Schizosaccharomyces pombe: one gene and its partners. The gene in region 2 interacts genetically with the main gene of each other region. Each region holds a gene or a part of one and is shown on either strand. Other genes may lie near its edges. The genes, in order: dfg501, pof7 and mca1.

Evidence for each region.
Region 1: mutations in pof7 (region 2) and dfg501 together harm fitness less than expected from each alone (positive genetic interaction), as found in Schizosaccharomyces pombe (one large-scale study listed by BioGRID).
Region 3: mutations in pof7 (region 2) and mca1 together harm fitness more than expected from each alone (negative genetic interaction), as found in Schizosaccharomyces pombe (one large-scale study listed by BioGRID).

The regions. Positions count from the first base shown.
Region 1 is NC_003423.3:182,918-186,677, forward strand, and holds the start of dfg501 (mannan endo-1,6-alpha-mannosidase), read right to left. Parts: upstream 1,669-3,760; 5' UTR 1,309-1,668; coding exon 1-1,308. Other genes in the region: dfg502 (mannan endo-1,6-alpha-mannosidase), read right to left, coding at 2,372-3,618, 3,677-3,758.
Region 2 is NC_003421.2:2,371,283-2,375,042, forward strand, and holds pof7 (F-box protein Pof7), read right to left. Parts: upstream 2,056-3,760; 5' UTR 1,798-2,055; coding exon 712-1,797; 3' UTR 232-711; downstream 1-231. Other genes in the region: SPOM_SPCC70.10 (uncharacterized protein), read left to right, coding at 1-78; U3 associated protein Utp25, read right to left, coding at 2,838-3,760.
Region 3 is NC_003424.3:2,987,251-2,991,010, forward strand, and holds the start of mca1 (transcription factor), read right to left. Parts: upstream 1,604-3,760; 5' UTR 1,180-1,603; coding exon 1-1,179. Other genes in the region: U2 snRNP-associated RNA-binding protein Sap49, read left to right, coding at 2,146-2,257, 2,315-3,210; chaperone Rot1, read left to right, coding at 3,723-3,760.

The DNA of each region.
Region 1 (3,760 bases), on a different chromosome or scaffold from region 2:
AATGGCAGAGAGGAAAGTTAAAAATCCTGCTCCTCCACGATCTTTTTCTTTAACTACTATTGTTGTCGTTGTATTGGTATCGTTAATCACAACGTTAGAAGCATATGTACTGTTAGATCGATTGTCGGTCGAGCTAGCAAGGGTTGCTATTTCAGGAGCATATTCAATCATTAACATCTGAACGGCTTGTAAAGCAGAAAACTGCTCTTGAACGCCATAATTATCATCCCACGTCCCATTGTTCCAGAACCAATAAATACCGCAACTAGTACCACTGTAACCACCACAACATTGCTTAGCAGCAGCAGCAGCACTAGTCTGAATTAGTGGATACAGTGTATCATAAGTATAAGGAGCCAGTCGAATGGTATTTCCAAAACTTTGCATAAAAATACCCTTGAATGCAGTTTGGTCGGAATTACAGTCGTCGAAGTATTCACATTGGGGGTCCCAAGCTATATCATCAGTAAAGAAGTAAGACGTAGCATGGCTAATAAGGCCATCAAGCCGTTCACGCCATACTGTTTCTCCAGTGTAGTTATACATATATGCAGCGCCAACCATAAAGATACCTATGTTGTAAGACCATTGAGATGGATCCAGTGTTGTACAATTCGTCGAAGTATCGGCGCCATCATACACAGCATAAGTTGTGGTATTGACAAATCCAACGTCGGTGGTCCAATCCCATATCTTGTTAGCCCAGTCCGAGTAGACACTTTCGTTTGTAAAACGAGCAAGTCTAGAGCTTAGTTGAAAGAGCAATGCATTACTAACTGAAGCTTTATAGCTATATCCATTCAACCAAGCAAAAGCTTGCCAACGTAAACCACCACCACACGTGCTTGAATCCCAACGTCCGGACATACGATTAAACGCCGCTTGCGTTAACTCCAACCATGAATGTTCTGTTGAATTTGGGGGACTAAAGTTAGCCTCTGCTGCATCCATTGCAGCGGCAGCCCACATGCCTTGATCATCATTTCCGAGATTAAAGTATTCAAACGAGGGCTGATAGTCAAATCCGCTACCAGCATTATAAAGTAAAGAAGAAGAAATAAGATCGACATATGTGTCATTATTAAAAAGTTCATAGTTATAAAGCAGAGCGCCCATAGTAGCACCAGTAACCCACCAGTATGAAGCAACAAATGCCTGGCTGCTTGCATTCCAATAGTTCATCAAGTCTTTCATCATAATATTGACGGTATTATCAATAGATTGATAATCTGTTATATCCAAATCCATAGCTTGTGCTCCGATGAAAACGAGAAAAAAATAAAACAAGCCCACACTATAGATATTCATTTTTACGGTTTAATTAGATTAAAGGTATTAATTAGAAGAGGATGGTAGATAAGAAGAGAAATTTTCAAAGTAAATTTCTTTGAGGGAAGGAGGAGATTCAAAATTATAATTAGTTTAATTAATACCACAAAATAACCAATTGAATAAACAATAAACCATGAAATAAACCCAAGTATTTGATGAATATCAAATGTTCTGGACGGGTTACCAAAGTCCGTCTACTCTCCCAATTTTGAAATTAAAATATGGAAAATTTTCGAATCAGTATGCCAACAAAAGATTGTTTAATATTTTTAAAGATTTGAATGAATCAGAACAGTTCTAACTTATGGCTTGTGAAAAATCGTGATGTGCTGTCGGAAGGAACGATGACACAAAAGTAGTACGGTGTACCACAGTGTCGAGCTCCGATGCATGTGAAAGTTGTCCGAGCATTCGATACTATACGAAGTAGATCATTTTAACATATATAATAGTTAAATCTTACTCTTTAAAACATATTATGTGATAAGAAATAACTTAGAGCGTTTCTTTTGTATTTTGAGTTAATATATGACTAAAAAAATTTAAAGCACAAAATTTTCGATTAAAAAAAAAAGAAAGCTTAAATGACTATAGGGGAATGTATCAAACATAAAGATGTTAATAACATTCAAAGAAATAAAGTGTAACAATATGCAAAATTGACAAATAAAAACGAATGCAAAGATCTCTTATAAATTAGATGAAATGAATATGTAAGTTGAAATAGCAAGTCACAGACCAATAGAGTTGCCAAATGCAAATGATGGAAAGGCGATCAATGGGATATTAAACAAAACTTTTAAGATGCTTTTTGCAACGTCAAAACCTTCAATCAAATAAAGTGGTACTAACCACCATGGCATAATTCAGTAAACGATGCTCAAAGAAAGTTAAATATCGTAAATACCTTAAATCAACAGAAATAAATAATAAAATAAGAAGAAAAACCAAAGTTTGCCTCTAACCAAAAGTAATTTGGAATGGTTTGGTATAAAAATGCAAATGCGGCTGTATATTAAACTTATCGTCAAATAAATTCTCAAAAATAAAGCCAGATAGAAAACAAAAGGAAAACAAATGAAAAAGCAAAAGTGAGAAATCCGGCCCAGCCTTTATCGCTCTTTGTTGCTGGAGTAATCGTAACGGTATCACCATCGTCCGTTCCTGCATCTGGATTGGATTCAGAAGATGCACCGGTATCTAAAGTTAAAATTGTAGCACTTTGTTGTGCAAGAAGCGCTTGGAAAGTTTCAACAGCTGATATTTGCTCGCCAAGGCCATAATGATCGTCCCAAGTACCGTTATTCCAATACCACATGTAACCACAAGTGACACCATCAGATCCCCCACTACAAGCAAGGGCGGCAGCTTCTGCACTGCTTTGTATATAGGGCAGAATAGTTTCAACGGTATAAGGAGCTAACTGCATCGTATAACCAAGAAATCGAGCTAGCATTCCCTTAAAAGCAGTCTGGTCTGAATTGCAAGATTCAGTTGGCTCACAAGAAGGTTCATAAATAATTTTGTCAGAAGTAAAATAATAATCAAGTGCCTTATTCATTAAACCTTCCATATGGGTTTGCCACACAGAACTGCCATTCGTATAGTTATATAAGAATGCAGTGCCAGCAAGGTAGACACCTACATTGTAACTCCATTGTTCATTCGTAATAGAACTACAATTTGAAGTTACTGAAGCACCGTCATATACAGTATAATCGTCTAAATCAACAAAACCCACAGTTGTAGACCAGTCCCAAACCTTTTGCGCAAGATCAACATAGGTATCGTTGTTAGTATAACGTGCAAGACGAGCAGCGAGCTGAAAAAGAATTCCATTACTAATGGAGTTCTTATAAGAATAACCGTTATTGAAAGAATATATTTGCCAGCGGACACCACCACCACATGAACTAGTATCCCACCTAGACATAATTTCATTAAACACGGCTTGAGCCAATTCCGTAAAAGAGGCAGAACTATCACCAGTAGTCATGTTAACTTCTGCAGCTGACATAGCACTGAGGCCCCAAATACCTTGGTCGTCATTGCCCAAATCAAATTTTTCGCTATTAGGAGCATAATCGTTATTGTCGCCTTTATTCGCTACAAGGGCACTAATTAGCATGTCAAGATGCGTTGTATTTCCAGTTGCAGCATAAGTGTCTGTCATTGAATTAAGGCCAGCTCCTGTCATCCACCAGTAAGCTGTAAATGTATGAGAAGTGCTTTGATAATAATTGAGCATTCCGTCAGTGACGGTAGTCAAGGCACTATTTATGGAATCTTAAATATGGTTAATAAGATATATTCAAATTGGGTGCGAGACAACTGGCAGACTTACCATCTGAAGTTACATCAAAGTCAAATGCAAACGCGAAAGAAAAAAGAAAGAAAAACTCAAAAAAAAAAGATAAATACCTCATTT
Region 2 (3,760 bases):
GCAGCAACCGAAGCTGTAAATCACGAACGACCAGCTTCACCACCACCAGTTTACAGACCTCCAGAGGAAATGGTTTAGCTTTGAATAGAAATGAGCGATTTTCTACAGTTTCGTTAATCCTTTCTCTTTTTCTCTTTACGAAACTAATTTACTTTAATTTTATTATCCAAAATAAATCCGTTTGTTAACTTTAAAACGGAATCTTCATGTTGAATTATTGCTCTCCGATATTTCTCCATGTTTTACTTTTGTCATTCAATGCTTCGATATGGCGATTTTTTATGTTGCCTTTAGTTTATTTATTTGTGGTAAAAAAGCAGGGATTTTTTACGAACATGATTACGAATGGTTTTATGGTTTTCTTTATGAATATTCGATCTGGACTTCAAGAAACTGATACGTTTAATATTCCATTTCGTGGGTTTTCCTCTTTTATTTTTTAAGTTTTGTGCATTCTATTTACTCTTTTCTCCTCAAGTATCACGCATGTTTCCTTGGACTTAGGATTGTTTATAACTTTGTACTTCCAAAAATTTGTTAAGCATCTGTTGTTCATTTGTAAATGTATGTTAATGATATATTTCCATGCGAAGAATAATGATGGCATTAATATTAATAAAAAATAATTTCTTTAAATCCTCTCACGATGCGACCTATAATAGATAATTAATCATTTCCGCGGTTTCTAAATTAGTATTCCAAAAAGTAAGACTAGCCACGTTTTAGTGACTCTGAGTCAGCAGTATAGCTATATACTCTGGAGAAAACATAGTCACGATTGTGAGTGAGTGGCATTTCGTTCGTGAATGAGGTATAATTATGGATGGAGTAGAAAGAAATCCACTTAAGCCTTATTCCACGAACTTGAAGTTTTTGAACGTATGTATAAGTTTGACTTGCGGGATACACAATTAGCATTTCTCCAGAAGGAGTCATTGACCAGGAGCCAGTGAGTGCTACGTTTCCATTACTAAACATAGGAGAACTCGACATAGGAGAAAAAAGACTGGTGTTTTGCACACTGAAGTTGCGAACAACATCATTTGGTTCATTACTGCTTTGATAAACGATACATGTTGAATTAGGATAAAGTCGTAAATACCGGTAGTATGTGATCAAATGTATGGGTTGGTTCCAGCTCGTGTCACTAGTTCCAGGTCGAAAGTATCGACAAACGGATATGTAGCATCCGTCAAAACGAGATCGAGGCTTTTTAAGGAACAAAGTCTTCCAGCTTTGCTGGTATTTTTCCACGAGTTCTTCCTCTATTGACTTAATAGACTGTTGCCATTCTTTTTGTTCACAACTGCAATAACAAAACGATCTATATAGAGAATCTGCTCGTAATGCCTTCGCAAAATGCTTACAAGTTAGTGCAATTGAAGAGAGATATCTTAAATCATGAAGGTCCCTAATGCAATTCTCTAGGATAACTAGCAAAACCTCGTCGGGAAGCTTCAGTATATTGGGAACGACCGACTCATTTACAGACTCATTTTCCGTTAACGTTGGAGATGGGACTGAGGAAACAGTGAGCATAGCTTCTGATGCATCTGAATTTAACATTTCCTCCTCTTCATTTCTTTTACACAGTTGCAAACGCTCCAAACGCCGATAGATAGATTCCACATCTTCATGGACTTTATGAGCTAATCGATATTTATTAAGAGATTCACCTAAATTTCCTTCTCTTTCAGATTTTATAGCATCTTTGTAATGTAAAAGTGCTTTTTTCAACAGTATATCCTTGTTCACTGTTTCAAGTTCAAGAGAAAGTTGATCCTCTACTGTACTCATCACTTATTTTATTTCTCAGACGAGCAATCGAAAGTAGATGTATAATTGAAAAAGAAAATATTTTCTTACTTATTTCTCTCAAAATAGAAAAAAAAAAAAAGAATTCAACACGAATATTAAGAGGTTAAGATAGTGCTGAACCTAACTAATGACTTTTATGTTTTTTACTTTTCATACAATTCCTAGCAAAGTATTAACAAGGATTTAAGGATTAAAAGCATCCTTTCACAAGACCTTACTTTGGTAACAATATGGTTTAGTTCATGGGTAGTTAGCCGTTGCGTTTAATATCAAGTTGTGGCGGTTTGATAACAAGAAGAAGAAGATTAAATTGAGTCAATCGTCGCTTCTTTACTGTTTAAAAAATGGACTAGATAAATATTGTAACATGTTTGAGATGCTATTTGGCTATGGGCATATTTGTAGGTGTCTTCGATTCTATCACTTCTAACAAGGCGTTAGGACTTGCGAAACCATTACATAAACTTAAAACTTGTTCAAATCAAAAGTTACTTGGCAATAAGCTAAGTGGATATTAGGATTTTAGCGATATAGAAAACATTTCGATTTGATGAATTATTGTAATAATTACCAGCTTCATGTAGCATTACTGCATTTATTTATGGTGAATATGATAGCGATTTTTATTGTTAATAAACGAGTAGATACATATCCCGCTTTGCTTTCGGATAATTCTCAGCATATCTTCGTCAAAAGCAATTGAGATTTAGATATGGTTTCGGGAACACAGTCGAAACCAAACTCATTGATAATGTACGATGCCTTCCAATCGCTATATGAATCTTGAAATAAGTATAAAAAAAATTATATATTGAAAACATTTAAAAAGCACTGTCAAGTTAAATCATTCAAGTAGCTATTTACTCATTCGCTCTCAATAAATAAAGCAAAGCGGAATGGTCCAAATAAAGTACATTTTAAGCTATTCTATTGTTTTAAAGTAGTAATTTTGTAGCTCTTTCATCCAAAAATCCAAATGACCCCTAATTCCTTTTTAAAAAAATTTTTTTCGTATTCTTTTAAAGAAATTCAAAAACTTCATGTTTACCATGACACATGTTTGATACACGCTGATATCCCACTATGCCTTCCAGGCAAATAGAATCAAACTTTGTATACATAATTCTACACTTTGCTGCATCACTGTCAAGGTTTCCTTCAGAGATGGTTCTCATCGGCATTCTAACAAGTTCAACATAAAACTGAGGATTCGTTGGGGGACCATACATCACAACAGCTTTTACACCCCTAAAGTCAAATCGACGGAAATGGTGAGCGCGCTCAGTATATAGCATTATATTGGTTCTACCTTGATAAAAAAGATTGCGGGCTCTAGTCATATCGGATACACTCGAATATTCTGATATGGCAGAATAGTTAATTCCCTCCTCATCCATGTAATTTCTCACACGAACAAAATCAAAATATGAAGGTATATAAACTAAAATACCACTCTGGGAATACTTCTTTAGTTGTACTAGTATAGAACCAGTAAAATAGGAAAAGCGGGCATCTGGAACTTTAATAATAGAATCGACAGAAATGCGAACAAAAGTTTGAGTCACTTTGTACCCCAAGCGGTTTAAAACACCGTGAAGAAGCGAGCGAAATTTAACCTTACCAGCAATATTTGACATGTAGTGAGAAAAGAAAGAATTTATATCTAGATTGTTATATTGAGAAAATAGTATAGTTTGGCGCATATATCTGGCTTGCTGATCAAGATACCAAGGACGAACACGACTGAAATCACAACCGTGAGCTTCTTTAGGCAAACCATTAAGTTCATCAAAAATGCATTCAATATGTTCCCAGTTTTGCATCACGAGAGCATGAGCTTGGTCAACCATTGCTATTTCAATCGAACTCAAATAATCGAGGTCTCGCTTTTTATCTCCCTTGTTACCAATAGCAAGACGAAGTCCCAAAGGACTAGCAACTA
Region 3 (3,760 bases), on a different chromosome or scaffold from region 2:
CTCAAAGCTACGATGGAATTGAGACTGATTTAGCCAAGGGGGTGTGATATCTTTCGTGTATCCACCACATAGAGCCCATCTTGAGATCTCACTCCACAAATTTGACAAGCGGATTAGGGAACCCGTCATAAACTCCAGTTGTAAACTTCTTTGGTATGGGGCCATTGAAGTGGTGTCTGACTGAGTGTTTTCCGGTAAAGATCCATCAAATAACTCAGTAAGAATTGGCTGATTAAATAAAAAATTAGGTTCCGGACAAGGTAATTGTATACTAGTCTTTTGAAGAGATAAAGAAAGTGAGCGCAATTTTGAAGGTGCCATGTAACCTGTACTTAGCAAACGTTCGACAAAAAAACAAGCCCAATAAACCCTTCTTTTCTGCTCGGCTTCAGTCCATGAAACAGTGTTGGATCCCATCGTAAGAGGATTATCATTTATTTCGTTACCAAGATCTAAAGAATCGACCATACGGAGAGCCATACCCAGTAAAAGCCAGGCTTTAGCGCCTCTACAAGAGCCCAACTCAATTAAGCAAAGCAAGAGCAGGCAAGTGATATTAGTCAGTGAAATATCCTGGAAACGACAAGGAAGCAGTGAAAAGGCTTGGTTTGCGTAGTAATCAGATGCTGCAGTTGAAGATTTAAATCTATTGACTTCCTCTTGACTGAAACGAGCAGCGTGAGCACATATACAAAGTACGAGGACTGGCGGAGCAGTATCACTTGCAATTTGAGACGTAATTTGGGCCTTATTAAATATCCCAAAAAGTTCGGTATATGAAGTTTTAAGAAATATGTCCCAAAGCTGTAATAACTTTCTACTGGTTGGTAGCCTTAACTGCTTCTGATAGTCACCAAAGCTATTAATAGAGTAAGTAAAATCCATGTTAGGAGATGATGGAGAGAGGATCGTAGGAGAAAAAGGATGAGAGCCCAGATACGGTTGCACTATACCAGTAAGAGGACTCAAGGTTCTGGCAGCGGAAGATGGCTTTTTGCCTCGCATATTCGGTCGATCAGGCCAAATGCATTCAACTTTGTTGTTACTGCAAGCTTGACATGATGGCTTTTCACCAGAACACTTTATTTTTTTCTGCCTACACCGAATGCATGCCTGAGATACTTGACTGATTACTCGCCTTTTTCGAGGCACAGCATCTTTTTCGACAGCAGCAATCATGTCGAAAATAAAATACTAAAATGAAGTAATAAAATATTCTGTGTCCTTTTAAACCGTTTAAAAACCTAGATAATCGAAGAAATCCTGCGTTGAGTAGACAGGTCTTAAAAAAGAAAAGAAAAGAAAAGCAGACGTGCCAATTGTCTGATCGTACGTCTGTTAGAAAAAGCTCACGAGCTTAAATCAGAAAAAATAAATAAGCAATAAACGTAAAGGCTACGAACAGTCCTTTCGAAAAGTTTGCAAGTAGAAAATTAAACATAAACAATAATAGACTTAAGTGAAAGAAAAAAGGGGCATCTAGGACTACACAAGTACGCTTTTTCAAAACACCAACATCACAGAAATATTTTGATTAAAAACACACTCGAAAAGCTATAAAATTCAACTGAAGTCGTGGTATCACCTGAAGGGTGAAGATCATAAGAAGGTTACAAAGACCACATGGGAGTAAAAAGCCCATCTAGGGTAACATAAATAAGCCCTCAGTTGTGTTCAAAACTACAGCAGCAAAAATAAATATACATGGCCAAACATCGTTTTTACAAAAAGTTAATAAATGAACCTATTAAATGTACTAGTGTACGATGGATGTAAGGAAATTAGGGCTGTATAAAGAGATAGGTTGCTATAAAAAATATTTCGTCAGTCTACCATTCACAACTGTACCTTCAACTTGAATATAATTCAATCTCATGAGTAAAATTATAAAATAATAAAAAAAAAACGAAGATTTAGTATTAAAAATCTCCATAAATGTGTTTGGAAAACGCTGGACACTGAAATTTTAACGATGAATACTGTAATTTAGTTTTCTATTGTGCTATTTGGTGCTCGTCATTAAGTCAATAACGAGACTATGCACCAATTTCTTGAATCTTCTACCAGCGTCTTCAAACGTGTCTATCTATTTATTCTAATAAATTTCTATAATAGACACTTTAACTTATTTTTACTTATTTATTAATGAGTATTCGAGAAGACAGGAATCAGGATGCAACTATATATCTTGGCAATCTTGATGAAAAAGTAACGGATTCTATTTTGTTTGAGTTATGCCTGCAGGCAGGTCCAGTTGGTATGTAATTATTCGAGTGTTGGTTGTATTTGTGGCTTTCGATACTAATTCATACAGTAAATATTCATATTCCAAGAGATAGAGTAAGGAATAGTCATAATGGCTTTGGTTTCTGCGAATTCTTACACGAACAAGATGTTGAGTATGCATGTCAAATTCTGAATCAAGTAAAGTTGTTTGGAAAGCCTATAAGGGTCAATAGAGCTAGCCAGGACAGAGGAGTCAATACCTTAATTGGTGCAAATTTATTTGTTGGCAACTTGGATCCTCTTGTTGATGAACGCGTATTGTACGATACATTTTCTGCTTTGGGACAACTTGTCAAGGCACCTCAGGTAGCAAGAGACGAGAATGGAAGGTCGAAAGGTTATGGTTTTGTTAGCTACGATTCTTTTGAAACCGCTGATGCAGCCATTGAGGCCATGAATAATCAGTTTTTAATGAATAAACCAATTACCGTGTCATACGCCTTTAAACGCGAAGGAAAGGGTGAACGTCACGGAGATATTGCGGAAAGAAAGCTAGCAGCAGCCGCTAAAAAGAATAAAGTTGCCGTTACTCCTCAGAGTACTCTGCCTCCAGGATTTTCACCCGCCACTCCTGCTCCAACATCTGCTGCTAATACTCCAGCAACAATTGCTGCTACATCGATACCTCCTGTACCGAATGTTCCTCTAGTGGGAGCAACTACTGCCGTCCCTCCCTTGTCAATACCTAATGTTCTTCCTTTCACTGCTGCACAGCATTTCCCTGGAATGCCTGCTATGCCAATGATGAATGTTCCAATGGGCCCTGGAGGTGCACCACTTGTCCCCCCTCCACCACCAGGAATGGTGATGGCTTCTCCTTCTCCTGCTGCTGCTACCATACCTGGTGCTCCTGTAATGCCAAACATACCATTTTATCAAACAATCAATGCACAAAATGGATACAGTCAACAACAAAGGAGGTAAAATATTTTAAAAAGAAGCAAAATAACTACCATTGTTGCTCAAACGCCGGCATAGTAAAATAGCTGAGATTGATCCGTATGGTTGATTTTTTTTTTAACGTGTACAGTAAAAAAAGTGGAAGCTGAGATTTATCTTATTTAAAAGAAATTAAAATTGATGTTTGTTTATATTTTACAGTTTGACTTTTTCTAGTAATGAGTTTTACTTCGTCCCTAAATATCGGCAATATAGTCTATAAACGACGCATTAATTCAATCCAACATATTTTCAGATACATTGAATTATGTATACAATCCAAACGAAAGTATAGTCTAAGCATTATATTAAATATAAGCTGCTAATCTCTTGACCAATATTAGTGAAGTATTATTTTTGACTCGTTATCCCGTAAAACTAAATAAATCAAGTACACGAAGACTTGTGTCAACAACCATATAGAAGTTTTTTGCATAAACATTGGTAACAGCTTCTTATTCGACCCTTTAGAAAACTATAAGAAAGCATTCAGCACAATGCATCTTCTTTATCAAATTGGTTTGTTTACCTGTTT